7 linked regions of the Macaca mulatta genome follow. The protein of the gene in region 7 purifies or fractionates together with the protein of the main gene of each other region. This does not show direct contact. Links are inferred from orthologs where the notes say so. Each region holds a gene or a part of one and is shown on either strand. Other genes may lie near its edges.

Region 1 (4,604 bases), about 23 Mb from region 7:
AGCTATTTATATATATATTTTTTGAGACGGAGTCTAGCTCTGTCGCCCAGGTTGGAGTGCAGTAGAGCGATCTCGGCTCCCTGCCACCTCCGCCCCCCGGGTTCCAGCGATTCTCCTGCCTCAGCCTCCCGAGTAGCTGTAGCTGGGATTACAGGCGCGTGCCACCACGCCCAGATAATTTTTGTATTTTTAGTAGAGACGGGGTTTCACTGTGTTGGCCAGGCTTGTCTCAATCTCCTGACCTCGTGATCCACCCGCCTCGGCCTCCCAAAGTGCTGGGATTACAAGCGTGAGCCACCAGGCCCGGCCACTATTTGTATTTTACACTTGATCTTGGCCAAAAGGCCAAGAAGCGATACTATTTATATTTTTATAATACTTATCCCCATCTAACATACTACATACTGCAATTATTTATTATATCTTTTGTTTAGTGTCTAATATCCTCCTCCACCTGCACCCCAGCAGAATGTAAGCTCCATAAGGACAACAATATTGATCCATTTTGTTGTCTGATGTAATCCGCTGTACGCCCTGGACAGAACCTGCTACAAAGTAGGAGCTCAGTAAGTATTTGAATGAATGCATCGTGGCACGGGAAGAACCCAGAAGAAAGGGGCGGCTGAAGCTGTGAAAGGAGCAAGTGGCCTGGCGCGGGGGCTCACGCCTGCAATCCCAGCACTTTGAGAGGCCAAGGCGGGCAGATCACTTGAGGTTAGAAATTCGAGACCAGCCTGGCCAACATGGCGAAACCCCATCTCTACTAAAAATACAAAAATTAGCCCAGCGTTGTGGTGGGCGCCTGTGGTCTCAGCTACTCTGAGGCTGAGACAGAGAACTGCTTGAACCCGGGAGACGGAGGTTGCAGCGAGCTGAGAGCGCGCCACTATACTCCAGCCTGGGCAAGAGCGAGACTCCGTCTCAAAAAAAAGAAAAAAAAAACAAAAAACAACTGTGTGTGTGTGTGTGGGGGGGGGGGCGGGTCAATAAACAGAGCAATACTGTATATGTAAAATACAGAATAGTATGGTACCAAGAACACATAGATGGAATGATCTGTAGCACTTCTCAATTGTATTACATTCAACGAAACCGTTTGGAGCTGGTTCTCCCCCCTCCCCCACTGTCTTTGTTTCTTTGGGAACCCCCACACGGCACAAACCGTGTTTTAATTCCTATTCTCTAGTGTGCAGATAAGTGCCTGGCACGTATTAAGTTGTCAAAAGAGGTCGTGAGCAAGTTAACAAATCACTGCTTCCATGTCCCTAACTACTCTTAAGCTCCTGGAGAAGAGATTTCCTATCTCTTGCGCTTCTACTTCAACGCCCACTTCAGAGAGGGCTCAAAGTAACGTCGTGAACTTAATACGCAATAAGGCAGCGCCCAGAGGCGGAAGAGGCAGAGTTTTTAGCTCCGGCCACGTGACGAAGGTGGGCGGGGCGTCAAAGTTCATATCCCAGCGTCCTTTGAATCAACTTCCTTTTTTCTTTTTTCCGGCGTTCAAGATGTCGAAGCGAGGTGAGGTTTTGCTTCTGGAGGATCCTCCACCATCTGTCGTGCAGTGGCTGGCGGATTCGTCAGGAGCGGTGGCCCTAGGCAGCTGGGGCGCTTTGCTCTCCTTCAGGCCGGAGAGGGAGAGCCAGGCCATCGCAAGAGCACTGCCAGGGCCCTCGAAAGTGGCAGTGGGGTGCTGGAGAGTTGACATAGCAGGATCCCGACATGAATATAGTCTGGATCCCGCGAGATCGCTCTGCGAATAGGGCTATCGTATTGGGGTTGAAGTTAGACTGGATTAGGCCCTGGTTTGCGCGACCTCTGCGGTCTTATGCTTTGCAGGAGCAATTGCGTTTTGCGAAAGTTGGAACAAGGGCTGAGTCGTCTAGGTTCCTTAATTTCGATGTCAGAGTGGTAATAGTGAGAAATAGGCTACTTTCCGTGAGAATCGGGTGGCACACGGGGAGGGCATAAGTAAAATCCGAGCGAGCTAATCTATAGCATACCATCTGTCAAAGTATGTGCGGTGAATTACAGTTTAAGAGTATGAGGGGGAACTGCGAACCATGTCTAGATAGTGATCTCTTTATCCTGTTTACCTTCCCTTTATATCCACAGGACGTGGTGGGTCCTCTGGTGCGAAATTCCGGATTTCGTTGGGTCTTCCGGTAGGAGCTGTGATCAATTGTGCTGACAACACAGGTGAGGTCTTTGACTGCAGGTTGCTATACTCCCCCTTTTAAAAGCACTCAATGGGCCTGTGCCTAATGACCTATTGAGCCGTCAAGAAAGGGGAGAGTGAAAACATCGCTTTTGGGTGAAGTGGCAACATGTTGTGTTGTTTGCTTCAATCGGTGGTGTGACAAGGCGTTCTTGAGGACTAACTGCTTGGGCAGTCAGTGGAGGGAGGGACTTTGGAAGTGTTTGGGAAATGTAATACTGATGGAACGGCCTGATGGGCCCTCAACATTTTTCATTTTTATTTACATTGATTTGTAGGAGCCAAAAACCTGTATATCATCTCCGTGAAGGGGATCAAGGGACGGCTGAACAGACTTCCCGCTGCTGGTGTGGGTGACATGGTGATGGCCACAGTCAAGAAAGGCAAACCAGAGCTCAGAAAAAAGGGTGAGTAAACACTGAGCCCACCTTAACACTGATAAGTAGTGGGGGGACTCTTTCCTTTATTGGAAAATGGATCAGTTTTCAAGGCCTCAAGGTTGTTTTCCATTGAGAGGCAATGTGAGATAAGTATCTTAAGTTTTTGTTCATATTATGTTGGAGGGGGGACCATCATCTTGTCATTTCCATACTTTAGATTTATTTATTTATTTATTTTTTGAGATGGGTCTCCCTCTGTCGCTCAGCCCACACTGGAGAGTGCAATGGCACGATCTTGGCTGACTGCAACCTCTGCCTCCTGGGTTCTCAAAAAAAAAAAAAAAAATTAGAAAATGAAAACGAGAAGCTGCTCATTATTTTATTTTTATTTATTTATTTTTGAGATGTAATCTCACTCTGTTGCCCAGGCTGCAGTGCAGTGGCACATATCTTTCTGTTCACTGCAACCTCCACTTCCCAGGCTCAAGTGATTGCCCTGCCTCAGCCTGCCGAGGAGCTGGGATCATAGGTGTGCGCCACCACACCCAGCTAATTGCTCATTACTTAATCTCAGGCTACCCCCTCATAAGTTTTCCTGTCAGCTGTATGATTTAAAGGGGGAGGCCTCAAAATACTTGCAGTTTGTGTCCTGTCCGGCTTTAGAACTTCTGGTATTTGATGCATTTTAACTTCAGCTCTTGCAGTTTTTTCCTGTGCCTGCCTAGTCTGTCTCTACCCTGGGATGTCTTGCTCTTCTAAAGAGTTCATGGCCATCCCTTGAGTTACAAATATGATGTTGATTTGTTAGCCATGTGTTACAGTTACTCCTATTCCTGTATCCACCCCACGATGCTCTCCAGTAGATTTTTAACCTTTGGGTTAGAAATCTTTTTTTGTTTACCATTAATAGCCACTTGAGGGCTTGGTAGCACTGTGCTTGTGATTCAGCAATTGCATGGGCTTTTTCCTCTTCTCAGAACACTTCCTGGGTCTGATTGGTGGCCCAGGGAGCTGTTAGAGAAGAGCAGAGCAAATGGCCATCACTTTGTAGATGAGATGGCAGGAGAGTGGATTGTTGGTCTCAGTCAGTGGTGGGACAGACCAGAGCTCAGAACACTTCAGTTTTAAAACGAGCTGTGAGTATCCAATTCTGTTAATGTCTTTTTTGGTCCTTGTTTCTGCTAAATGAATACATCCCCTCCCCTTGGAACTTAATAAATAACAAGCACAGAAATGTGCAAAAGGGCCAGGTCTATTTGTCTACTTGATGAATTTGTGAGCATTTAATGGTTTATAAGTAGAGGAGGGTCAGTAAGTATTGGCTGCCTCATGTGTGTCCCATTGCTAACTTGGTTAGACTTATCTATTTTTTGTATAGTCTTCCTGTCATTATAAAAATTCTGTGTAAGGACCCCACGCTAGTATCAGTGAAGATTTGAATCCAGGTGTGTCTGACTCTACAATAGTTCTTCACAAGCATTATATTTTACTGTGTAGTGATACTTGATTTTGAAAGTTGGGAAAAGCATCTTTTTCACTTTAGTACAGATGGGTGTAAAAGTTACTTATGACACTGGAAAGTAAAACATTAAAAGTAAAACATAAAGCCTGGTGTTTGGGCCCTGGAATTCCAACTGTTTTCCAGTATAAATCTGAATAGCTTGGTCTCTGCTCATTGCCAGGACTGGGAGCAGTTGGGGGTCCCAGGTCCCATTTCTACATCCCAAGTCAGTGATACTGGGATCTTAATAACCCACCTGTGAGGTGAAGTTGGAAAAGGCATAGGCAAGGATAATTGTCCTCCTGAGAGTTTTACACTTGCGAGAAAATACTGGCAGCTTTGATTTTAAGATGTGAATAGATGGTTGTGGTTCATGCCTATACTCCCAGCACTTTGGGAGTAAAAAAAAAAAATCTGGGCATGGTGGTGAGCACCTGTAGTCCAAGATACTGGAGAGGCTGAGGTGGGAGGATCACCTTAAAGATTGATTGATATTTATACTATCTCA
Region 2 (3,913 bases), on a different chromosome or scaffold from region 7:
CAGGTGTGATTTTTTTTTTCTTTAGGTTATCCTTCCAGAAATAGAACTGTTGAGTAAGGAGTATGCATGTTAAAATTTTTAATATTGGCCCAGTGAGGTGGCTCACGCCTGTAATCCCAGCACTTTGGGAGGCTGAGGTGGGTGGATCACCTGAGGTCAGGAGTTTGAGACCAGCCTGGCCAACATGGTGAAACCCAGTATCTACTAAAAGTACAAGAATTAGCCGGGCGTGGTAGCTGGTGCCTGTAATCCCCGCTCCTCGGGAGGCCAAGGCAAGAGAATCGCTTGAACCTGGCAGGCAGAGGTTGCAGTGAGCCAAGATCGTGCCATTGCACTCCAACCTGGGGAACAAGAGTGAGACTGTCTCCAAAAAAAAAAAAAAAAAAAAAATTAAAAAAAAATATTAATAGCATGGGCAAATCTCCCTCCAAAAAAGGCCAATGTATGACTCACATTCTTTTTTTTTTTTTTTTTTTTTTTTTTTGAGATGGAGTCTCGCTCTGTCGCCCAGGCTGGAGTGCAGTGGCCGGATCTCAGCTCACTACAAGCTCCCCCTCCCGGGTTTACGCCATTCTCCTGCCTCAGCCTCCCGAGTAGCTCGGACTACAGGCGCCCGCCACCTCTCCCGGCTAAGTTTTCGTATTTTTTAGTAGAGACGGGGTTTCACCCTGTCAGCCAGGATGGTCTCGATCTCCTGACCTCGTGATCCGCCCGTCTCGGCCTCCCAAAGTGCTGGGATTACAGGCTTGAGCCACCGCGCCCGGCCTTCTCACATTCTTTTTAACACTATCTTGAGTCTTTAAATGACAGACGGATGGTATCTTATTTTTTTCATTTGGATTTTCTTGGATACTGTTAAAGGTGTTCGTTTTTATGAACATCTTTCAAATTATCTTTTAGGAGTTTTTCATATCAGGCTCTTTTTTTGATACAGCATCTCACTCTCAGGTTGGAGTGCAGTGGTGGGATATCATAAAATGTTTCTTGGGAGATATTGGTGGAGTTAAAAGGAATATGTAGGGATTCTGTGACACAGGATTTTAGAAAGCTGGGATAACAAGTACTGTCTTAGGCAGCTGAAATGAGACTGGATAGCAAATTCCAAAGGGAGAAATATCTGGAGAGAGAGTGGGATCAGGTATTATTATATATGAGTGTTTGGCACACTGGAAAGTTACCTAACTAAAATTTTAGTTATCTCCTTGGGATTAGTTTACCTAATTACACAAGAGTATACTTGTATAAAATGTGTAGGTTAATCTTCGGTGTATAGACATTTTAATATGGTAGTATCTTAAAAATTGGATTTTATCAGGTTTATAAATAAATCTAGTTGAAAAAGTCATTTAATCTGAAGGCTTCTCTTGAAAAACAGCATTCTTCTGAATTCTTCTGCTCCCTCTCCCAAGGCAATCATTTTCACATTTTAAATCAAATGCTCTTACTGCTAGTTCTTGATTTTTTAATTTTAGTGATGACCTGTTGGCTTGCTGTTACGCATGATGAGGAATTAACTCTTTTCGTATCTGTATCCCCTACCTCTTATTATGTACCTCCTCTCTGTTGTAGTTAGTTATTGTTTGCTCAATATTTAGTGTTTGACATTTAAATCATTAGCAGCTGAGTCATCTAGTGTATTGTGATTTACTTTTCCTTTTCTGCACAGCTTCTTGTTTCGTTTGGAATTAATAGCCTTTTTGGCTTATTTGGTGGCTTATGTGTACTTAAACTCTCTTTGTTGTGCAAATGAAACGCATTAGGATAGCAAAGTGACTTTGATTTTGTGTTTCCATTTAGTGTGCTATGTTTTAAAACCCGTTTTAACTGTTTTGATTAACATTAATGTTCTTTATAGAGATAAGGAAAAAAGTAGCGTTAAAGTACTTTGACATTAAAAAGATTTATGTTAAGTAGTTATTTAAAATCTGTATGTAATAGAATATTTGACAAAACTTATGAAATTTGAATTATATTTGTATTTTAGCTGAAATAGGTGATTGTTTTTATATTTTTGTTATGAATGCTCAGAAAAGAAATGGAACTTCTCAGGACTTTTTTTTTTTTTTTGAGACAGTCTCGCTCTGCCACCCAGGCTGGAGTGCAGTTGGCGTGATCTCAGCTCACTGCAAGCTCCGCCTCCTGGATTCAGGAGAATGGCTGAGCCATTCTCCTACCTCAGCCTCCCGTGTAGCTGGGACTATAGGCGCCCACCACTGCGCCCGGCTAATTTTTTGTATTTTTAGTAGAGATGGGGTTTTCCCGTGTTAGCCAGGATGGTCTCTATCTCCTGACCTCGTGATCCACCCGGCTTGGCCTCCCAAAGTGCTGGGATTACAGACGTGAGCCATCACACCCAACCACTTCTCAAGATTTTTATGATCATCAAAGGATACCTGAGTATATCTTAGGATATACAAGATGTTGTACATATAATTTACCTTTTTAGAAGACCTGATGAACTTCATGAGTGTTTGCCTTCTCCTGCCAAATCAGTTCCTGATAAAATGGTCCAGTAAATTTAGAAAGCTCCAAACAAACCGTGGCTATGTCTTATACATACAAGTCTTTTAAAACTTTGAATTAAAGTAACCAGATTTTTAAATTAACTTTTTAATTGACAAAAATTGTGTATATTTATCATGTATAATATCTCTTGAAATATTTATTAAAAGTAGCCAGTTTTAATGATTTTTTTCAGATTTACTTGACCAGGAGACCTTTTTATTTTTTGTTTTATTTACTGATTTTTTGAGACAGGGTCTTGCTCTGTTGCCCGAGCTAGAATGCAGTGGTGCAATCCCAGCTCACTGCAGCTTTCACTGCCTGGGGTCAAGTCATCCTTCTGCCTCATAGCCCCTCAAGTAGCTGGGACCACAGGTATGCACCACCACACTTGGGTAATTTTAGTTTTAGTAGTGATTAGGTCTCACTGTGTTGCCCAGGCTGGTCTTGAACTCCTGGACTCTAGTAGTCCTGCTGCCTGGGCCTCCCAAAACGTTGGGATTGCAGGCGTGAGTCACTGCACCCAGCCCAGGAGGCCTTTTTAGTAGCATTTCTACTAATTTGCACAGGACTTGACTAAATAATGCCATTTGACTGACTGCAAGTTGTGGAGAATCTCATTTTTTTGCTGATGCCATCTTTTTCTCTCTGCTTTTATAGTGACAAAAATGCTGAGTTTCTTCCGTAGAACACTGGGGCGTCGGTCTATGCGTAAACATGCGGAAAAGGAACGACTCCGAGAAGCACAGCGCGCAGCCACACATATTCCTGCAGCTGGAGATTCTAAGTCCATCATCACGTGTCGGGTGTCCCTTCTGGATGGTACTGATGTTAGTGTGGACTTGCCAGTAAGTAGGTCTTGCCGAACTCCAAATTCTGTTTGCGATTACTGTCTTTGTTTGTTTGTTTAAAAGCTTTGTATTGATAACTTCTGGATCGTAATCGGTAAAGGTACTATGGGTTAATATAGTTCAGGCACTGTAACATTCGGGTACACGGATCAGATAACTGTAGACCAAAAGTACTTGGATTGATGGTATTTCTCTTTGGAATTAGTGGCAATTACCTGAAGCATTTAGATGATAGAGCAGTTATTGGCATGAGTCCGTTTTGTGTGTGTTTATGTGTGTTCTTTGTGATGGCAGCACGTAATGTAGTCTAGTGGATTTCTCACAATCCTTGTTGAACAATTATTAAAACATTGTGACTCTTTGAGAATAACAACACTTCCATGTGTACTGTAAGACTTTTAGTTTTCTGTGCACTTCTGTATTTTTTAAAACTCTCCTTACTTTCTTCAAAATAAGTATTTCCCCACAATTTGGTTTACTTGCAGACATTAATTAGGTGAAGTGAGAAAAAGGACTTTCTTCATACCCCTCAGCTCTGACTGTCTTTCTCTTTGCTCCCG
Region 3 (3,913 bases), on a different chromosome or scaffold from region 7:
CCTAGCACTTTGGGAGGCCAAGGCAGGCAGATCGTTTGAGCCCAGAAGTTCAAGACCAGCCTGGGCAACATGGTCAAACCCCATCTCTACAGGATGCAAAAAAACTAGCTGGGCATGGCTATGTGCCCCTGTAGTCCAGCTACTCGGAATGCTGAGGTGGGAGGATCATTTGAGCCCAGAAAGTTGAGGTTGTAGTGAGCCGAGATGGCACCACTGCACTGCAGCCTGGGCAACAGAGTGAGATCCTATCACAGTAAATGAATGAATGAATGAATGAATGATCAGTGCTGAAAAGAGGTACAAGTGGCAGTGGGAGTCTATGATTTTGTTAAATTCTTTTTGCTTTTCCCTTGTTCTCATCTACTACTAGCAGTAGTTCTAGAATGTTAAGCATTATTTGAGAGTCTAAACTAAGGACCTTTAGCTTGAGGTAACTGTGATTATATTTCACCCAGGAGAGTGGTCCTTTGGGATGCAAGGCAGTTGTTCTAATACCTCCCAGACCAGTGATATGTGTGTGTGAATTGCCTGCTGCTCTGTGCTGTGTGGTGTTGGAGGATAAGTCAAGTGCTTAGACTTGAGAACTCTGATCGTGTGAATGGGTATCTAAGATTCAGGACCCAGGGCCCTGCCCCAGGTAGATTATTTGGGTCTGTGATGAGGCCGGGAATCTGCTGTTCAGTCCACATGATTATGACCAGGGGCTTTGCTTTAAGCAAATAGTTTTGATAGGTTAAACAGGGATTTTTCTTCTGATTTATAGAAGTTATACATACAAACTAAAATATTTTTTAAAACATAGAACAGGATTGAGCAAACTCATAGTTGACCTGACTCTCAAGGACAAAGTTGTGTTGCCTGTGGTCTGTGTTTCTCAGATTTTTCCTCCAGTGTGTTAACAAGTATGGACTCCCACGTGGCACTAAATATTCCTGTACAATGTGATTATAAATAGGCCATATTTGAATACCGTTGAACTTCCATTGTCCAGTTTTTCACTTGTACAGATCTATCGATGGACAATCCAGCATAAATACTTGATTAGGATAAATTTTTTTTTCCTTTTGGTAAGATAGGGTCTTGCTCTGTTTCCCAAGCTGGAGTGCGGTAGCACAATCATAGCTCCCTGCTGCCTTGACCTCCCAGACTCAAGTGATCCTCCCACTTCAGCTTCCTGAGTAGCTGGGACTACAGGGGCACACTTGGCTAATTTTTTAAATTTTTTGTAGTGAGGGGTTTTGCTATATTGCTCAGGCTGGTCTTGTAGTCCTGCCCTCAAGCCGTCCTCCCACCTTGGCCTCCCAGAGTGGTGGGATTACAGGCATGAGCCACTGCACCCAGCCTTAAGGATAAATTCTTAGAAGTGGAATTACTGGGTCCAAAGAACACTTTCAGTATTTCTGCCCTTAAGAAAGATGAGTCAGAGGGCTTCTTGACCCTTAGCCTCGTAAAACCTAGGTGTTTTGTTTTGGTTTTTAATTGCCAATTTGGTAAGGAAAAGATGAGCATTCTTAAATGTTTGCATTCTTTTGGATATTTTATGAGATTGAATCTTTCTTCATGTTTGACAATTTGTGTTTTTTCTTTTGTGAATTATCTTTTCTGCCTCCTGTATCCTTTTTTTCCTATTGGGGTATTTGTCCTTTTCCTAATTTTTAAGAGGTCTTGTTCATTATGTTAATTCCATGTTAACCTAAATTTGTTTTAATAAAATTGAAAAGCATGGTGCCTTATTTTGCAGGCATGAGGATGTTGTATTTCTTACTCCTTTTTTTTTTAGTTTACCTAAAGCAGTAAAAAGAAGAATTAATGCATTGAAACAACTTCAGGTGAGATGTGCTCACATAGAAGCCAAGTTCTATGAAGAGGTACATGACTTGGAAAGAAAGTATGCAGCACTATACCAGCCTCTTTTTGACAAGGTAGGGAACTCTCTTAACGAATTTAATATACAGATAGTCTTCAACTTACGACGGTGTTAGGTTGTGATAAACCCATTATAAGTTGACAACATCTAGGGTAAGAACGCATCTAAGCTACCAAACATAGCTTAGTCTAGACTACCTTAAATAAGCTCAGAACACTTACATGAGCCTGCAGTCAGGCAAAATCATCTTCCACAAAGCCTATTTTATAATAAAGTGCTGAGTATCTCATGTAATGTATTGAACACTACACAGAGTGGAACAGAGTGTGGCTGTATTGGTACTCAAAGTGTGATGGCTTCTGCACCATCATGAAGTTGAAAATCTTTAGTTGAGCCATTGGAAATCAGGGACCGCCTTTATTTTAGATCTTTAGGTGAAACATCCAGATTTACCCAGGAAATCATTTAATATTTTTCTTTGAACCCTAAAATTTAGAATCTTAAAATAAGTTATAAAAATACCCAGTTTTCAAAGTCTTTTTGTAGACATTATTTATAAATTTAACTCTTGAGTTTCCAAGTAAGCTAATAACACAATTCTAATAAGGTCTCATTTTTATGTAGAGAAGAGAATTTATCACCGGTGATGTTGAACCAACAGATGCGGAATCGGAATGGCACAGTGAAAATGAAGAGGAAGAGAAATTGGCTGTAAGTCTTTTGAAAAATGTGACTTATGTTCTGTTTTAATACTATTAAAAATAAGCATTTTTTAATGATTTTTAATGACTAGTAAACTTACGTGCTTCTAGCAGTAGGTGCTGCTGCATCATTAGGTTGGGTTTAGATTCCTTTCTGATACTGATCTAGCATCTGGCACAGTACTGTCAGTTCATAGGAGGAGTAAGATGTAGTGCCATGTCAGTTATCTGTGGACAGGAGCATATTGAAATAAAGGATCAGACAATAAAGATTAAAACATCAGAGAAAGCAAAGATCAAGAAGAAATACCCCTGTGTTCTCAGTCACTGGAATATTGGGGGAGTTGTGAGGGGAGTGCCTTCCTGCTCAGTGGCGTGGACTAGCGTGCTCCCTGACAGGTGCTCAGCCAGTGGATTGGTTGCGTATGGTGGTTGTGGTATGGCCGTCAGTTACCTGCTCACAGCCGTGAAAGCTCCCAGTGTCAGCCTGATTTTATGTTTGGGAGACAAGTAACTTTTATCCTATAACTAACTTTTGGCATGGTTTTTTTCTTTTTTTTTTTTTTTTAAGGTATATGATAATTTTGGTAGCCTTATGTGTTTTTTGATCTTTTTAAAATATGTAGAACCTGGCCAAATTGAAGCCATGGCTGTGGATTGATACAGTTGTGAATCAGCTTCTAACAGCTCAAGGAAATCTGCCTTCGCTAATTTAAAAGGCCTATGAGATCATTTCATCATAACAATCCCATTTGGCAAGGCATTCAGAATCTCCCATAGTTCCATTTAGTGTTATGTTTTACCTCCCTTGGTCTACCTTTTCCCTGGGGCCTGATGTTATAAGACTCCCCTTCACTTTACCATGTACCCTTTCTGATCACTTTCTGATGCTTGCGTTATGTCCATGAACCAGCATTTATAGCCACCTGCTTAAAGCTGGATAAGTTGCTGAGCACTTTCTTGCTGCAGATACTGCTGCAGCAAATGTTTTTTTTTTTTTTTTTACTTCAACTTACTGCCCCTACCCCACAAATTTTAACCAGAGGTCAGATTATTAGTCCAAGTGAACTTACTGATCCTTGGACTGGACTTTTTTTTCCCAGTGATAGATGTTCTGCATATTTGCATTCCATTTCCTTAAGGTTGATGTACAGTCTTTGCATCTGCATTTGTGATGATGATTGTCTCAGGATGGCACCTCACAGAGTTAGCACTGGATGACCTTTCCCAGAGTTGGTGGCACTTTGTCATCTCTTCAGTTTCTTCGCCTTTGATGTGAAATCATAAGGAATTCCATGTGGATATAACGCCTTGACTGCTTTTTTCCCTCAGAAGCATCTGAGAA
Region 4 (4,269 bases), on a different chromosome or scaffold from region 7:
GACTGCACGCTCCTGCCCAGGACGGAAGGCTTGGTGTCCCAGCTGCTCCAGGGCCTGGAACACCTCAGCCGGCGTCTCTGCAGACACAGGTGTTGACCACCATGACTTAAGTCACACCAACCCCTCGGTAAAGGCTCTGGGCCAGCAGCTGACTGCTTACCTGCCAGCTGCCCTGAGGGCCCCAAGGAGTAGAGTGGCAGCATGGTGGAGGCCAGGCCGGGCACCCCAGGCACAGGTTGTGGTGCAGGAACCAGCGGCTCAGGGCCAGCAGGGTCTGTGTCTTCCTCACTTACTGGGGCAGGCAAGAGAAGGTGGAATGGGAGCTCCAAGCAAAACAACCATTGGCCACAACCTTCTCTTTCCCCAAAGGGGTTGGCAGCAGGCAGTGCCCTTCTTCTGTGCTACTTCTTCTAAAGCATAAAAGGTTGACACCCATCCTCATCCTTGCCACCCTGCTTTGGGGGAGCCAGGGTAGGGCCTGGACCAGGGGCACCTGGAAGGTCTTTTGCTTGGAACAGAAGTGTCGCCCAAAAGAGTACCGTGCCCTCTCCACAGTGGTGGCCAGACCCACCCTCCAGGGCAGATGTCTCACCTGGCTGAGGACACTGGGGTGCCCAGTGATCAAACTGTTCATTCAGGAAACAAGACTCCTTGATCGTGACTGTGGCACCACCACCCCCAAAACACTCCCCTTTCTTCCGCCACTTCTGCTTCCATGCCTGAAGGGTGCCCACATAGGAGGGTCACTGGGTGGGACATGCAGGGGTGCTGAGGGGAGGGAAAGGGAGGGCCTGTCCCAGTCCATCGCCGTCTCACCTGCTTGCGGAGGAGCCTGCCACGGAGTGCCCGGCCCTGCACGTAGCGTTTCTGTTTCATGTTGAGCCGTACGTAATTGCCCCTGTCATGGCGGGCCAGCCTAGAGATGTGCAGATGGGCTGTGCCCTCAGCCTTACCCGCCCTAGCTTGACTGGAGGTGCTGAATCTGTGGTACCTGGGGGTCGACAAACTGCTGCAGGGCTGAGGTGGCTGTGCCTGTACAGGTTCCCCTGGAGGGTCTTCCTCAAGTGCGACAGCCCCAGCCCCCTCCGATGGGGGTCCAGCCTGGCTGCTCTGCTGCTGGACCTGTGCGGGGCTCCCCCAGAGCTCCTTGTTCCGTCTCTGCTTCTTGCCTCGACTGCTGCTGGGCTGGGGGCTCCCTGCACGGATGCTGACTTCTTGGAGGGCTGAAGCCTCTGGGTCTGGGGAGCCAGCACCAGGACCAAGGACAGCTGACTCACCCGGGATCAGAAGCTGTGATTCCTCTGAGCCTAGGCCAGGCCTGCAGGCTTTGGGGGCCCCCAGAAAGTCTGGGATCTCACTGTGACATCGCTGTAACCAGTCAAGATCTAGGGAGGCCAGCTGCTGGCTCAGGCATGCCTGCAGGTGCTGCAGCTGGCCCGGCCTTGGCTGGGGCCCAGGGGGCTGTGGAGGCTCATCACTGACTTTTTCTGCAAAGGTGGGGACAGGCCTTGTGCCTGGGGGATTTGGGGTGGGCGTCTTGGATGAGGATCTTCCTAGAGGCCAGGGTCTGCGGCCTAGGGCTGGTCCGGCCTGGGAAGGGAACAGAATGGCAGCAGAAACTCAGGCCCCTGGGCTTCTGTAGACTCTGAAACCTGCCTGAGTTCCCACCTTCAATGGTAAGACAGGTTAATTAGCACAAGGCTGGCCTAGAAAGGGAGTCAAGGGCGAAGGCCCCGAGAAACTCCGTGGAGACTCGTGCCCTGGTTGGCACAGGAGCCTGTGCCTGTCTGTGTGGAAAGAGTGACAAGAAAGAACCCCGGGCCAGAAGCACCTCTGGACCTAGTGTGGACTCACTGCTTGCTAACTCCTCACCTGCAGGGTGCCTTTCAGGTTGGCCTTGAGCCGCTGCCCGTAGTCCGGCACCGACCCCTGGCAGCTCCGCCCTGGCGTATGTTGTGGACTGTGGGTTGCAGCCCGATTCAGGTGGGGCCCCCAGCAGTGGGACTCTGGTGCCTGCAGGAGACAGTAGGGGCGCAGGCCAGAAAAAGGCTGGTGTGGAAGCAGAGGCGCTCCCACCCACCCCCTCACACCTGGAGCGAGGCCCGGCCCGTCTTCACTTTGCTCAGTCCCCCTCCCAAGTTCTGTGCCCCACGGAGGCCTGGCCGCGACTCCGTGGCTCCTGCCACTCCGCCAAACAGGAAAGTGGGAGGAGGCTGGGGTGGCGGGGCCTGGATACCTCTTCGACGGCCACGGGGAGCAACTCGGAGCTGCGGGGCCCGCCGCCGGCCTGGCCCACGGTCCGCTTGAGAGTACGATACTCCCGGTAGAGCGCTGCGTGGGCGGGCGGGAGGCGGGGTCAGGGTGGAGCCTGGGCCCCCGCCGACCTGGCGTCCTCCCGCCTCCGTCGACCCGGGACCCCGCCACCCCGCCGCGCGCTCACCGCGGGTCTCCTGCGGCGCCGCCTCCACGTCATCCTGTAAAGGGAACGCGTCAGCCGCGGGCCGCGCCCTCAGCCCCTCGGCCCCAGGGCATCCCGTACCTGGCTCGGCCGCCGCCCGCGCTCCCGCCGGAACGCGCGTTCCCACGCTTGCAGCCGCTCGCGCACATCCCGCAGCCGCTCCATGGCGGGCCCGCCAGGTCTCCGAGCAGTCCAGCGGCCGCCCAGCGAATCTCCCGCGCCGCAGACGATGGGGCCAACAGCCAATGCGGGCGCGCGGCGGGCCGGGGGCGGGGCCACCGCGACTAGGCAGCCAATCCGCCGGGCCCTGGACAAGCAACCAATGGGGGGCGCCGACGTCATCGCGGGGCGCCGCGGCGCCGTGCGGGGCGCGGCGGACGGTCTAGGCGGGGCCGGAGGCGGTGGCTGCGGCTGCGGGACCGGTGAGCGCGGGCGGCCAGGCGGGGGTCGGAGTGGGGCGGCGTACGTCCCTGGCCCTGCCTGGCCGCAAGGGGCGTGGCAGCGGTCGCTCGGGGCGGCCCGGCTGAGGGAGGCAGTAGCTGCATTTGGGAGCCCGGGGCCGAAGCCGGGAGCCCGGGCGGTGCCATAGCGGGCCGGGAAGGACTGGGAGTCCCCCGGCCGGTCGGAGCGGCGTCAGGCCCTGGTGGGAGACGCACCTGGCTTGGAGGAGCAGGCCCCGCCCGGGACAAGAAAGAGCGGAGGGACCAGCGCCTCCCGCGACTGGAGGCCCAGAGGAGCCGGGCGGGGGCGTCTTTTCGAAACGCAGGCAGCCGAGGGCCGACGCGTTCCCCGTGGCCGGCGGGAGGGGCGGGGGCCTCGCACGGAGGTGCCTGCCTCCCTTGGTGGCCAGGCCGTCTGCTTTCGTGTACTCCCGTGACAGGTGCTCGGTTGGTCTGTCCTGTCAGAGCGAGGTATGACCGTTGAGATCTCAGAATGAGACCGAGGGTTGGTGTCTGGGACTTTTCAGGAAGCGGTTCTTTAAGGACTTATTTGTATGTGCAAAAACAAGGGCCCTGGGGCCAGAGTGTCCTCCCTAGACCCCTTCCCTGACTTGTCACTCAGGCTGTGACCTTGGGCCAGGCCTAGGCCTTCATTTTCTAATCTGTCACAGGGAGATGGCTGCGATTTAGTTTTGAGGATGCTGCAGTCAGCAGCAGGGCTGGCACCCTGTGTCACAGGTACCTTGTGGCCTTGGGAGTGTTCGCGCGCATCTCTGCAGCTTGAGTGCTGCTTAGGCAGCTTTCTTTGCCTTGTCTGAGCAATCTGTAGCCTTGCACCTTCCGAATCCCACATACTTAAGACTTGTTCTTTCCACAGTGGCTCTCCAGGGAAGAGGGAGAGGTTTTAGGCCACTGGTAAGAGCCACCAAAGGTGAAGGTTGCTTTCTTTCAGGGGTCTTCGTGCTTGGTGACACTCTGGAGAATAGTTTTTTTGGGGGGGGCTTATATTGAAGGCTTGGATTTCATAGGCTACATCATCTGGACTCAGTATTCCCTAGGTCTCGGTCTTTTCAACCTGCCCTGTTGCTTATGAAGCTGCATCTGTGCTTCCAGCTCTTTGTTGTTTTGTGGAGTCCCAGGGTAGCCCTGGAGAGCCTCTGTGAGGAGAGGGGAGGGAAACGTGATTTGGCTGCTTGACTCCTTGGAGTGTCCCGTCAACGTTAATGCTGATGAAGGTTGGTGGGGAGAGGCCTGGACTTTATTCAGGTTTCGAAGAAGGTTTTGTGAAGCAGCTTTGTAATTTGGGAGGCCTGAAGTACCCATGGGGGGCCCTGCAAGGCAACAGGCATCTGTCAAAAGCACACCCAAGCA
Region 5 (3,913 bases), on a different chromosome or scaffold from region 7:
AATTTGTTGATCTCAACTTAGAAGGGGTCAGAAAAGAGTACCTTGGGATGATTGATCCTTTTTTTTTTTTTAACTTGGCTTTTTTTTTTTTATTTGGTCTGGGGGAGGTATTCACCCAGAACTCCTTTACCATGTCCACTTGTGTTTCTGCCTTCCCAGCTCACGGATGATTGATATCCAGACCAGGATGGCTGGGCGAGCACTGGAGCTTCTTTATCTGCCAGAGAATAAGCCCTGTTACCTGCTGGATATTGGGTGAGATTCTGGGGCCTGGTTCAGATTGTCTAAGGTGGTGAAGTACCTTTGCAAACTGACCGTGAGTCTATGATCGTGTCTTCCAGCTGTGGCACTGGGCTGAGTGGAAGTTATCTCTCAGATGAAGGGCACTATTGGGTGGGCCTGGATATCAGCCCTGCCATGCTGGGTATGTATGTCCTGTCTGGCACCAGGGTGGATTACCCTGATGGGTGGGTGTGGAGAAGCCACAGGTATTGTCTCTTTCTCTGATTGCCTTTTCTCTAACGTAGATGAAGCCGTGGACCGAGAGATAGAGGGAGACCTACTCCTGGGGGATATGGGCCAGGGCATCCCATTCAAGCCGGGCACATTTGACGGTTGCATCAGGTGAGGGTCTTCACTTCCTGCTTTTATTTATTCAGAGACAGGGTCTCAGTCTGTCATTTAGGCTCTAGTGCAGTGTCTGTGATTACGGCTCACACTGCAGCCTCCACCTCCTGGGTTCAGGTGATCTGCCCACCTCAGCCTCCTGAGTAGCTGGGACTACAGGCCCATGCCACCATACGTAGCTAATTTTTTTTTTTTCTGTTGAGACGGAGTCTTGCTCTGTCACCAGGCTGGAGTACAGTGGTGTGATCTGGGCTCACTGCAACCTCTGCCTCCCAGGCTCAAGTGATTCTCCTGTCTCAGCCTCCCAAGTAGCTGGGATTACAGGAGCGTGCCACCACACCCAGCTAATTTTCGTATTTTTAATGGAGACAGGGTTTCACCATGTTGGCTGGGATGGTTTCAATCTCCTGACCTCGTGATCCACCCGCCTCGGCCTCTCAAAGTGCTGGGATTACAGGTGTGAGCCACCGTGATCAGCTTACTTTTTTTTTGTATTTGTTGTAGAGATGCCATGTTGCCCAGGTGATCCACCCACTTGGGCCTCCCAAAATGCTGGAAATTACAGGTGTGAGCCATCCCGGCCACTTCCTGCTTTTAGTCTTGCAGGCCAGTGCTTCCCAAACCTGGCTGTGCAGCAGTCACGCAGATATTTACAAATACACATCCCATGGGATTTTCAGATTTACAAGGTTAGAATAAGGCCTAAGAGTGTATTTTTTTGGATTCTAAAACTTTTCAGTCTGGCCAACACAGTGAAACCCAGTCTCTACTAAAAAGCCAGGCACGGTGGTGGGCACCTGTAGTCCCAGCTAGCTACTCAGGAGGCTGAGACAGGAGAATTGCTTGAACCTGGGAGGCAGAGGTTGCAGTGAGTCAAGACCACACCATTGCACTTCCAGCCTGGGCGACAGAGCAAGACTTCATCTCAAAAGTAAAACTTGTCTACTATTGTGATTATTTTGCATTGCCGGGTTCAGGCACCACTGGTACGGATTCTATGTTGGCTTTGTGTGTCTGGTGGGGGAGGGGAGGTGGTCTTTTAGCCTCTAGCAGCCATTTAGCAGACATCTTGTGGGCCCCAACAGCCATCTTTATTTGCCAACAAATAACTCTGGTGGAGAGCGGCGGGGCTTGCTCTAATCTCTTCAGTGCTCCAGAGTCCTTTCTCTGTAATCAGGGTTGGATTAAACATCGGCATAGCACTTTGATAACAGATCTTAGAGCGTTAAAATTGATTACGTTTTCCTTAGGCTGCTGCAATCAGTTCTGTGTAGTTTTTGGTGCAGTGTGAGAGTGAAGGTAAGAAAATAGGGGAGACCTCCTTTGGTTACCCTAGGTTGAGTGGTGAGGATGTGAAGTGGGGAGCCAGGTGAGAGGTAAAAATTTGGATTAGAAGATTTTCCTTTTACATCTTGGAACAAGACCCAGAGGAGTTGGGGAATAATTTCAAGGGTAGCAGATGCTTTTTGGTAATGGTCTGGTGAGGTGTTCTAAGCTGTGAAAAGCCGAAGGCCAGCAGTATGGTCTGTATGTTTCGGAAGGGGGGTGGTCAGTTTTGTCTCTCTTGGGGGAGAGGTGAAGTGGTATAGCACACTTTTTTTTTTGGAGATGGAGTCTCACTCTATTGCCCAGGCTGGAGTGCAGTGGCACGATCTCAGCTCACTGCAACCTCCGCCTCCCGGGTTCAAGCAATTCTCCTGCCTCAGCCTCCTGAGTAGCTGGGATTACAGGCGCTCACCACTATGCTCGGCTGATTTTGTATTTTCGTGGAGACGGGGTTTCATCATGTTGGCCAGGCTGGTACTGAACTCCTGACTTTGTGATCCCCCTGCCTCAGCCTCCCAAAGTGCTGGGATTACAGGTGTGAGCCACCACTCACGGCCCAGACTTTCTTTTGTAAACGTTTGCTACATATAAGACATACAAGTTGCTGTGAAGTACGGAGATATGAAACAGTCTCTCTGTTTAATACTCTCCACGGTTTATTAGGTGCTTTAGGACTTGGACCAGGCAACTGAATATAAGGCCGTGAGTGGTGTGTGCCCTAGAGAGTTGTGGGCTGCCAGAGCACAGGAAAGCCTTGGGTGGAGGGGCTGCACCTTGAAGGCTGGGAGGAATTTGGATAGTCAAGGAGAGGGTTTCCGAGTGAGGGAACAGTGGGCAGAGGCACTGACGCTAGTGGGAAAAGGGTCTGAGATGAGAGTGATGAATGAGAGATTCCACAGAAGATGGCGTTGTGTGTGGTTGGTTCCTAGAAGGCACTTAAGTATGTCCTAAGAAGTTTGGGCTTGATGGATGATGGGGAGTTGGCAGGTGACGGGATCAGATGTGTGTTTAAGGAAGGTGATTTTCAGATGGAAGAGGAGAGGGAGTTAGGTGGAAACATTTGAGCTGGTAGCGCTGAGCATTGGTGGGGGGACGTGAAAGTTGGGAGAGGCTGTGGGAGTGGAGGTAGGGCTCTGCATGTGTGTGTACAGCAGAGGGAGGGGAAGGGCAGGAAGGAAGACATAGTGACTGCTTGAGGGTTTTTTTAGTTTATTTTTTGAGATGGAGTCTTGCTCTGTTGCCCAGGCTGGAGTGCAGTGGTACAATCTCAGCTTATTGCAAACTCCGCCTCCTGGGTTCAAGTGATTCTTCTGCCTCAGCCTCCTGAGTAGCTGGGATTACAGGCACATGCCACCACGCCGAGCTAATTTTTGTATTTTTAGTAGCAACCGGGTTTCACCGTATTGGTCTGGCTGGCCTCAAACTCCTGACTTCAGGTGATCCACCTGCCTCAGTCTCCCAAAATAGTGGGATTACAAGTGTGAGCCACCGTGCTCGGCCGCTTGAGGTTTTAAATCTGGGGGTTGTGAAAACATTTAACAGGTAGAGTGGAAGGGAGTGATTTAAGAGGAAGGGTGATGGGGTGGCTGTGTGTGTGTGAATAGTCTAAAGCCTGTTTCCTTGGATTGGAGGAAGGGAACAAGGAGAGTGGTGTGTGGGCAGACAGTCTTGACACGGAGGAATTCTCAAGTTGAGATGCAGATGGAAACAAGGTTGAGGAAAGGTTTCTGGGACTGACTGAGGGACATGAATGCTGTCCTTCTGTATGTCCTATTTTCCCAGTGTTGTAGAATCATGACCTGCAGTATACCTGCACTTTTTTCTTTGTCTTTAAATTTTTAAACTTTAAAATACTTTTGAGTAGAGATGGGGTCTTGCTATGTTGTCCAGGCTGGTTTTGAACTCCTGGCCTCAGGCAATTTTGTCTTGGCCTCAGAAAATGCTGGGATTACAGGGCGTG
Region 6 (3,206 bases), on a different chromosome or scaffold from region 7:
TTTATAACAGTTTAGAAGCAGTGGAAGGAGTGGGTAGAGGGCTGCCCAAGAGTGCTACGGAGGGTGCACTCAGCTGGACTCTCACGTTTGATTCACACCAGCCATGGGAAGGAAGAATCAGAAAAATCAGTCCCCAAATGCAAAAATGGGTAAATAGAAGTGAAGCAGGGCCCAGGAGAAGCAACAGCACCCAGATTGAGTTCCGGCTACTGAATCCCTACAAGTCACAGGAAGAGCCCTCAAAATACTCAGCAGGTGCCACAGACAAGACCTGGAAGCAAGCTGCATACAACTGAGAAAACTCCCAGGAGAAACGCGGACATTTGGTTCATGCTGGGGAACTACACGTTTCTGAGTATCTTCCCAGGACTGTCCCTGGCTCTGCAGCAGCCAAAGGCATCAGCCCTCATGACCCTCAGGCTCCAAATCTCAGCCGATTCCCCAGGGGCTTCTTGCCAAGCTCACAGCGGGAGGTCAACATGGCCAGCAGGAGATGCGGTGGGCAAAGCAGCAGCGCACAAGACCCCTAGCCTGGGTGGTCACTGGCTCTTCTGGGAAGGAAGAGCCAAGCCCATCAGGTCTTGGCTGGACTGCACAAAGGAGAAAGTTCCAGAGCCAGAATCAAGTTAGACACAGGAAGTTAGAAGTGAAATGGTGGAAGGCGGAAGGAGCAGGGGGCTCATTTAAGGGACAGAGCTTGGGAAGGTCACGGCCAAGCACCCTCGAATCAGCGCTTGGAGACAGAGCTCGCCTCTGTGGGAGGGAGGAGTCGTCCTAAGCAGACCTGGCTGTCAGGGTTTCTACGCCAGGACGCCCCCAGTGGGCGGCCAGGTAACTGCACCATCACAGTGTACCTTAAAAAGGGTTTTTTCTCAATGCCACGATGGAAATGCCTGATGGCCCCACTGTGAGGCTGACCGGAGTCTTGGGCCTTAAGTTGGCACACACAGACTAGACTGGTGCACTTAAGTCCCACGGCCTTGGAAAAGCAGCTCCGCCTGGTTTTCTAAGTGCCTGACCCCCACCTCCACCTTGGAAAGCCTGCTGCACCCCCTTCTGGGGTGGGCCTTCAGTGTGGAGCCCCTGGACCTGGACTCTGCAGCCCCAGCTGGCAGGGTTCCAAATGCCTTCTTTTACAGACAAGTTTCCCTCCTGCTCTCCAGGGATGCTGCCTCCTTCCCTACATCTGGATCTGTCACAAGCTCAAGTCATGGTTCTTGGCCATTACCAACAAGCAAGACTATTTTCCTTTCCATCCGCAGAACCTGTTTAAAGGAACAGCTGCAGCTCGTTAGGGGCGGAAGGTTATGCTGGTTGAGGCCGAGTCTGCACTGGGCGTCCAGGCAGCTCCAGCAGAGCATCGGGGCCGGCCGGGGTGGAGTCCAGCCCTGACTCTGCCCTCCAACCCCAGAGACTCCGAGATCAGAGCGGAGGTCACCCCTTCCAAGCCAGCTAGCCCTGGACAGCCAATGTACCGCTGAACAGGGGCTTATAAGGCTTCTAGGATCCCTGCACCAGCATCCGAGGCTCCTCTGAAGCATGGGGAGTGGACAGCACGCAGACCCCTGCCCTGGGGACAGTCAGGCCGGTGCACACAAGGGGCTGCTGCTGGAGAGGCAGCATCCGTCCCTTGGCCTGGGTTTTTTCAGAAGCAAAAGCCAAAAAATCAGCCGTCTTCCCCACACCCAACCTCCGCCCAGAGTGGAAAGCGCACACACGTGATAGGTGCCGTGTTACACAGGGCCGCGGCTACACGGGAATGCGGCTGCGCACCGGCCGGGAGCACACGTGGGGGTTAGTGGTGTTTTAAATGGCCGCGCAGCAGCAGCCGGACCGGCAGGGTCTCGGCGGGTTGGTGAGTCCTGTTTTAGTGGGGAGGGTCTCGCGGCTCTCAGGCAGGGTACCTGGATCGGCTTAATTATCAGGCTGGATGTAGATCTGGCGCTGGGTCAGCACTTGAGAGAGCTCCCTCTGCAACTGCTTAAACTTTTGGTTGTCAGGGATAGCATCAATAGATCTACAGAGAGTGTTCAAGATGAGTGGAGTGGGAGGGAAGAGAACCACGAGAAGCCAGGAACGCAGGGGGCCACAGCTGAGGAGGAAATTCAGGGAGACCCACGAGGCGGAAGGGGGGTGCCGCAGCGGCTCTGGGCTGTAGAGTGGTATCACCGCTGCAGAGGCCCACGCTGGCGGTGGCCGTGGTTTTCAGGGGCTCGCCACCACCACCCATAGGCTCTTCCGCTTCTCTCCCCCACTTCCCAGCCACTGCCTGGGGACTGTGTAGGTTGGCTGGGCGGGAAAGTGCGTTTGGTGTATTGGGCAGTGGCTGCAGGTGGCAGGCCTAACACCACGGACCACTGGGCTCTGACCCTGTCACAGGTCATGAAGACCAAACCTCCCCCAGGTGGGCAGGAGATCAGAAGACCAGGGTCCAAAGAGGAGGACTCCTCTGTTTTAAAACTATAAAGCAGGCGACTGAAATCTGTCACCCACCCCAGTCCATGAGCTGGTGCAGCAACAGAACTGCAACCTGCCTCTCCTCTGGGCTGGGCTGTGAGAGCTATGTCACGGCAGTGGGTGAGAGGGCTGGCTGCTAAGGGCATAGCATGGCCCGACTCACATGGTGCTGCTGGACTGCAGAGCGTGTTCTAGATTCACCATCTCAGCCGACCCTGCCTCCTCCATCGGACAAGGGCCTCTTCGAGGAGTGCCAGAGGCCACACAGCTCAGGATGACAGAGCTTAGGGGAGATCCCAGCCTCCTGACTCCAAGGCCAGTGCTCACTCCACAGCTGTCTACTGCCCCCAGCTGGGCTCTGGCCTCATGTCAGAGGCCTGCCTCCTGCTCTGTCCACCATGGACCTGGAGGGTCCAGAGAGCCCCCAGCTTTTGTTCAGGCTGACACTGCAGAGACGAGGGCACGAGGTGGGTGGGACAGTGCAGGACATTGGCCACTGGTAGCAGAGCCCTGGCAGAGGACGTCAGAGAGGCTGGGGGCCCCCTGAGAAGGCCCGGGCTGAGGGCCCTGCCTGCACATTGTGCTCTGCTGTCTCGGAAAGCAGGCCAGCCAGAGGCGGCCGGGCTGCCTGGGATGTAGTGTCATGGCTCCCCTAGGCCCAGGCTGGAGGGGCTGGGCAGATTTTTGAGTGGGGACTGACAAACTGCAGGGCTGAGGAGGCTCTGGGGGCAAGGGTACCAATGGCTGCT
Region 7 (3,913 bases):
CAGGAAGTCACCTCCCCACCACTAAGGAGGAGCTCTGGGGATCCATGACCTTCACAGCTGATGGGGACTGGGCTCATGAGGCCTTGGCAACCTCATTCCATTCTTTCCCCGCCCTCTGCTCTGGATTTTGCAGTCCCTAGGTCTCTGGGAGAGGCCCTTCACCTGTGCCACCCCTAAGCCGGACCCAAAGCCCCAGCCAGTGGTCTGTTCCAGCCTCTGCTCCTGCTCTGTGCACTTGGTCAGCATCTGCCCAAGGCAGTAGGGGACCTTGGCAGGCCCAGCCCTACACCTGAAAAGCTCAGGGTCAGCTGATGATACAGCCAAGGAGGTCTGTGTGGGGCTGCGCTGGGAGCTGGGAACATATGACAGGAGGGGACATGTGGAAGGGCCGACACATCTTGCTGCCTTCCCTGGAATGGCCGTTAAGGTGATGGGGCAAGCCATTCCCACTCCCACTCCCGCCCCTGTGTGGACCAGGAGAGGAAAGCTGGGCTGTGTGGCTCCAACCAGGAGGCGAGGGAAGGAGAGCCCATGTAGCTCTTCTGCTCAGGACCCAGCAGCTGGGGTTAGAACTGCACCAGCTCCTTTCTCTCCTTCTCTGTTAGAGCTTTCTAGAAACGGTGGTAGGAAAGTTTCCATCTCCTTTTAGGAGGGAACTTGCATTCTTCGCAGCACAGTGAGCTGACAATCCAGGAAAATCCTGGAGGTCTGTGAAAGTCTACATGCACCAGCGATGGATGGCCGGGAAGAGACTGCTGGGAGAAGCGAGGCTGGTGGGCCAACTGCGGGCTGCCCCCAACCCTGCACCAAGGGCTGTGTGGAATGCCTGCCTTGCCCCCTCATGCTTTTGCTGAGATCTCACCAGGAAGACCTGAGAGCCCATCTTCTGGCTACACGACTATGGTCCCCAGCCCAAGCTGCCATAGTCACAAGCCCAGTGGGGGGTCTTGCCAGAGCCTCACCTGGGGCAGGATGATGGTCTTTGAGTTGTCAGCCCACACCACCTCCACCTTGCTGCTGACGTCCACACGGGCCACCTGGCCCACCGATGGCTGCCGGGCAAAGGGGACAAAGTCAGGGGGTCCAGCTCAAGCTCCAGCTCCCCAGCCCCTCCTGTGCTCTGCAGTGACTGACATCATGCCCACCCAGCTCGTGACAAGAACTTAGCTCCTCTGGTAAACGTAACCAGCGGCAGCTGAAGAAGCCTGACCCCAGAAGCGAGGCAGGGAAACAAGTCCTTCTGCAGCTGCTAGGGCTGAGCAGCAGCTTGACTTTGGGGCAGCTGCCCTGGGGACACTGAGCCCAGAGGACTTTCAGGTCTTGTCTCCTAGAGCCACCTGGTGGCAGCATCAGGGACTGCAGCTGGTGCACAGGGCAGTGAGCAGCGGTCCAGAACTTGAATTGGAAGGCACACCTCATCCTCCTTGTGAGGAGCCCCGTCCTCAGTATTGCCGATGCGGATGACGATGTCAGTTGTACGGAACCTAAAGTCAGGGTGGTCAGCAATGTCGTAAACACTCACGTCTTCCTCTTCTCCAATCAGCTGTGGCACAGGACAGGTTGTCATGAGCTACGGGTCCTACACCTAACCCCAGAGCCCACCTGAAGAAAGCAGTAGGGGCTGCACACACCTCCACGTCGTCCCCACTCGGCCGCAGCTTGAACCACTTCACCATGCAGGTGCGGCCGAGGTGGTCCCCAGACTGTACCACGCCGTAGACAGCAGGGTCTGGACAGCTCTGGACTAGGGAACCAGAGGAAGGGACGTGACTAGCTAAGGGATCCCGGCTAAGGAGCCGACATCTCAAGCCAGTGCAGGGTGCAAACTGTGACCTTCCCCTGTCTTGGAAGTGGTGAGACCCCTTCATGAGGGCAGTCCCCTTCTGGACCTCATTTTAGCTCTGACCCCAGATCCACTGCCCATTCTCCACAAGCCCCAACCTGGGCCCTCACTGGCAACCACCCTGCTGGCTGCCCTTCCAGAGCTGGCACTACCTCGCTTATCTACCACGAAGTCTCCGGGGCAGAACTCGTTGTTGTCCAGGTGGTGCACAGGAAAGAGGTCGTTGGAGCGGATGTTGCATTCCACAGAGCCATCCTGCCACATCACGTCGGCTGAGGTCATCGTGGTCACCACCTCCACTGCCACCCTGCCGGATGCAGGCCAGTCAGCAGGCCATGCAAACGCCACCCCCGCCCACGGAAAGGGCAGAGAATCTTTTTGTCCCTTCCTGTCCCTGTGGGCTTAGTAACCTGAAACTCCGAATCCCAAGTTGGCAGGATGAGTTTCTGGTGCACAGGAAGCTCACCCAGGGTTCCGAGGCCATGCACTCTCTGAGAACGAGACCCACTTGGGAGAGCTCAGGCAAATGTGTTCCCAGAAGGCCAAGCTTAAGGCCACCACCATCCCACCCTCTGCACCACTCCTCAGTCTCCGCTTTCCACCAGGGCCTACCCCAGGCACCTACGCTGTCTCGGATGGGCGTCCCTGAGCCACTACAAGGCATGCAGAGGTGTGTGTGCGAGCACAGGCACGCACACCCAGGGGACGCGCACTCTGCCTGGCTTCACGCTGACGCCACTGGGGAGGGGCACAACTCTGAGTTTACCTGTCCCCTGGCTTGAAATCTCGAGTGATTTTATTCTTCTTCCTCTTGTGTTTGCGCTTTAAGTTCTTGATGGACAAGGGGATGCTCTTTTTGCGACTCGTGCCACTGCCGCTCTGGGAGGAAGTGGTGGAGCTGGCAGAGGAGGTCACTGAGCTGGTGTCGTCCGTGTCGTCAGCAGCCTCATCATCTGCGTCCTGCTCTGCCGAGTGCAGCCTGTCATCTCTGCCTTCTTTTAGCAGGAATGGGGGCAGCTGCTCTCCTGCCTCGTGGGGCTCCTCTGCACCTTCGTCCTGCATCTCCACTGGACTGGCAGAGCCATCAGGCGTCTCCTCGGGACTGGCAGACTCTGCTTCACTCTTGGCTTTGGTTTCCCCCTTCTTGTCTGGGTCTTCCATGGAATGGTCCCGGGAACACTGGGTGTCTGGGGAGCACGACATGATCCGCACAACCTGCTTCTTCAACAGGCGCTTCACCTGCAAGGGCGGAGCAGAGAGGACAGGGCTGTGAGGTGCACCTGGGCAGGCCTGGCCCTAGGCATCTCAGGCTGGGGGGATGACAGTTGTATACACCTGAGTAGCCGGCAAGGGTCATCAGGGCTGCCCCCCAAGGCCTAAAGCACAGACTGTCCTTTTTGGCCATGGAAATGGCTCAAGGCCAGTTCCTCAAATGCCCACCAACCCCCAACCCCAAGGACATACCTTCTTGGCCATAGAGCCCTCCCCCTGGGCGCAGTTTTTTTCTGGACATTCCCAGGCAATCTTGGCTGGCTCTACCTTGGCTGGGAAGACATACAGACAGCGCTCCCCAAGCTGCCGCTGAGCATGGTCAAAGCATCCGAGACGCTTCACCCTGGTTGGGAAAGAAGCAGGGGTGAGCTGAGCTGGACTCCTGGGAGGCCAGCAGTGTTCTTGAGCCTCCCCGGGCATGTGGCCAGGGCCCAGAGGCCTGTTCCGCGCGTGCCCCTGGGTTGCTGGCAGTAAGGGCGTGCTCACCTGCCTAGGTTTTCCTGGGTGATGACAGAGGGTGGGGGGCTGACGCTGTCCGTGCCCCCTGGACAGAAACTTTTGGTAATCCATGTAACTTTCAACTCTACAACCTGCACCTGGGGATGGCAGGTGGGACACGCCAGTCAGGGCAGGCTCTGACAGCATTCTCTTTAGCCAGTTGCCCAAAGCCCACTCGACCTCCAGAGCAGGAAACTGATCTTCCTAGTGTAGCACCAAGTACAGACACATCAGAGCAGACCCCAACTGTAACCACGGCCCACACCCAATGCCCAGGACCCGTGTCACTGCTCACACCAG

Evidence for each region.
Region 1: the proteins of UBE2O (region 7) and RPL23 purify together in Homo sapiens (affinity purification with mass spectrometry; 3 studies listed by BioGRID and IntAct, with this or other methods). This does not show direct contact. The link is inferred for Macaca mulatta from reciprocal best matches to the Homo sapiens genes UBE2O and RPL23.
Region 2: the proteins of UBE2O (region 7) and EPB41L5 purify together in Homo sapiens (affinity purification with mass spectrometry; 3 studies listed by BioGRID and IntAct, counting the BioPlex papers as one, with this or other methods). This does not show direct contact. The link is inferred for Macaca mulatta from reciprocal best matches to the Homo sapiens genes UBE2O and EPB41L5.
Region 3: the proteins of UBE2O (region 7) and NAP1L4 purify together in Homo sapiens (affinity purification with mass spectrometry; 3 studies listed by BioGRID, with this or other methods). This does not show direct contact. The link is inferred for Macaca mulatta from reciprocal best matches to the Homo sapiens genes UBE2O and NAP1L4.
Region 4: the proteins of UBE2O (region 7) and RECQL4 purify together in Homo sapiens (affinity purification with mass spectrometry; 3 studies listed by BioGRID, with this or other methods). This does not show direct contact. The link is inferred for Macaca mulatta from reciprocal best matches to the Homo sapiens genes UBE2O and RECQL4.
Region 5: the proteins of UBE2O (region 7) and BUD23 purify together in Homo sapiens (affinity purification with mass spectrometry; 5 studies listed by BioGRID and IntAct, counting the BioPlex papers as one, with this or other methods). This does not show direct contact. The link is inferred for Macaca mulatta from reciprocal best matches to the Homo sapiens genes UBE2O and BUD23.
Region 6: the proteins of UBE2O (region 7) and CAPZB purify together in Homo sapiens (affinity purification with mass spectrometry; 3 studies listed by BioGRID and IntAct, with this or other methods). This does not show direct contact. The link is inferred for Macaca mulatta from reciprocal best matches to the Homo sapiens genes UBE2O and CAPZB.

The regions. Positions count from the first base shown.
Region 1 is NC_133421.1:63,144,487-63,149,090, reverse strand, and holds the start of RPL23 (large ribosomal subunit protein uL14), read left to right. Parts: upstream 1-1,475; 5' UTR 1,476-1,505; coding exon 1,506-1,518; intron 1,519-2,112; coding exon 2,113-2,196; intron 2,197-2,227; exon of another isoform or gene 2,228-2,362; intron 2,363-2,493; coding exon 2,494-2,622; intron 2,623-4,604.
Region 2 is NC_133417.1:17,461,356-17,465,268, reverse strand, and holds part of EPB41L5 (band 4.1-like protein 5), read left to right. Parts: intron 1-3,162; 5' UTR 3,163-3,170; coding exon 3,171-3,350; intron 3,351-3,913. UniProt on the Homo sapiens protein: Plays a role in the formation and organization of tight junctions during the establishment of polarity in epithelial cells.
Region 3 is NC_133419.1:2,877,391-2,881,303, reverse strand, and holds part of NAP1L4 (nucleosome assembly protein 1-like 4), read left to right. Parts: intron 1-1,780; coding exon 1,781-1,922; intron 1,923-2,491; coding exon 2,492-2,578; intron 2,579-3,913. UniProt on the Homo sapiens protein: Acts as a histone chaperone in nucleosome assembly.
Region 4 is NC_133413.1:154,940,644-154,944,912, forward strand, and holds the start of RECQL4 (ATP-dependent DNA helicase Q4), read right to left. Parts: upstream 2,801-4,269; coding exon 2,540-2,800; intron 2,475-2,539; coding exon 2,441-2,474; intron 2,332-2,440; coding exon 2,237-2,331; intron 2,014-2,236; coding exon 1,873-2,013; coding exon of another isoform or gene 1,866-1,872; intron 1,591-1,865; coding exon 817-1,590; intron 720-816; coding exon 593-719; intron 293-592; coding exon 161-292; intron 78-160; coding exon 1-77. UniProt on the Homo sapiens protein: An ATP-dependent DNA helicase which unwinds dsDNA with a 3'-overhang in a 3'-5' direction. Does not unwind more than 18 bp of dsDNA. May modulate chromosome segregation. The N-terminal domain (residues 1-54) binds DNA Y-shaped DNA better than ss- or dsDNA.
Region 5 is NC_133408.1:51,181,146-51,185,058, forward strand, and holds part of BUD23 (18S rRNA (guanine-N(7))-methyltransferase), read left to right. Parts: intron 1-159; coding exon 160-255; intron 256-341; coding exon 342-424; intron 425-527; coding exon 528-624; intron 625-3,913.
Region 6 is NC_133406.1:221,632,056-221,635,261, reverse strand, and holds part of CAPZB (F-actin-capping protein subunit beta), read right to left. Parts: intron 2,018-3,206; coding exon 1,915-2,017; 3' UTR 1,905-1,914; intron 1-1,904. UniProt on the Homo sapiens protein: F-actin-capping proteins bind in a Ca(2+)-independent manner to the fast growing ends of actin filaments (barbed end) thereby blocking the exchange of subunits at these ends.
Region 7 is NC_133421.1:86,146,308-86,150,220, forward strand, and holds part of UBE2O ((E3-independent) E2 ubiquitin-conjugating enzyme), read right to left. Parts: intron 3,712-3,913; coding exon 3,602-3,711; intron 3,459-3,601; coding exon 3,308-3,458; intron 3,083-3,307; coding exon 2,610-3,082; intron 2,151-2,609; coding exon 1,996-2,150; intron 1,745-1,995; coding exon 1,632-1,744; intron 1,544-1,631; coding exon 1,397-1,543; intron 1,053-1,396; coding exon 963-1,052; intron 1-962. UniProt on the Homo sapiens protein: E2/E3 hybrid ubiquitin-protein ligase that displays both E2 and E3 ligase activities and mediates monoubiquitination of target proteins. Negatively regulates TRAF6-mediated NF-kappa-B activation independently of its E2 activity.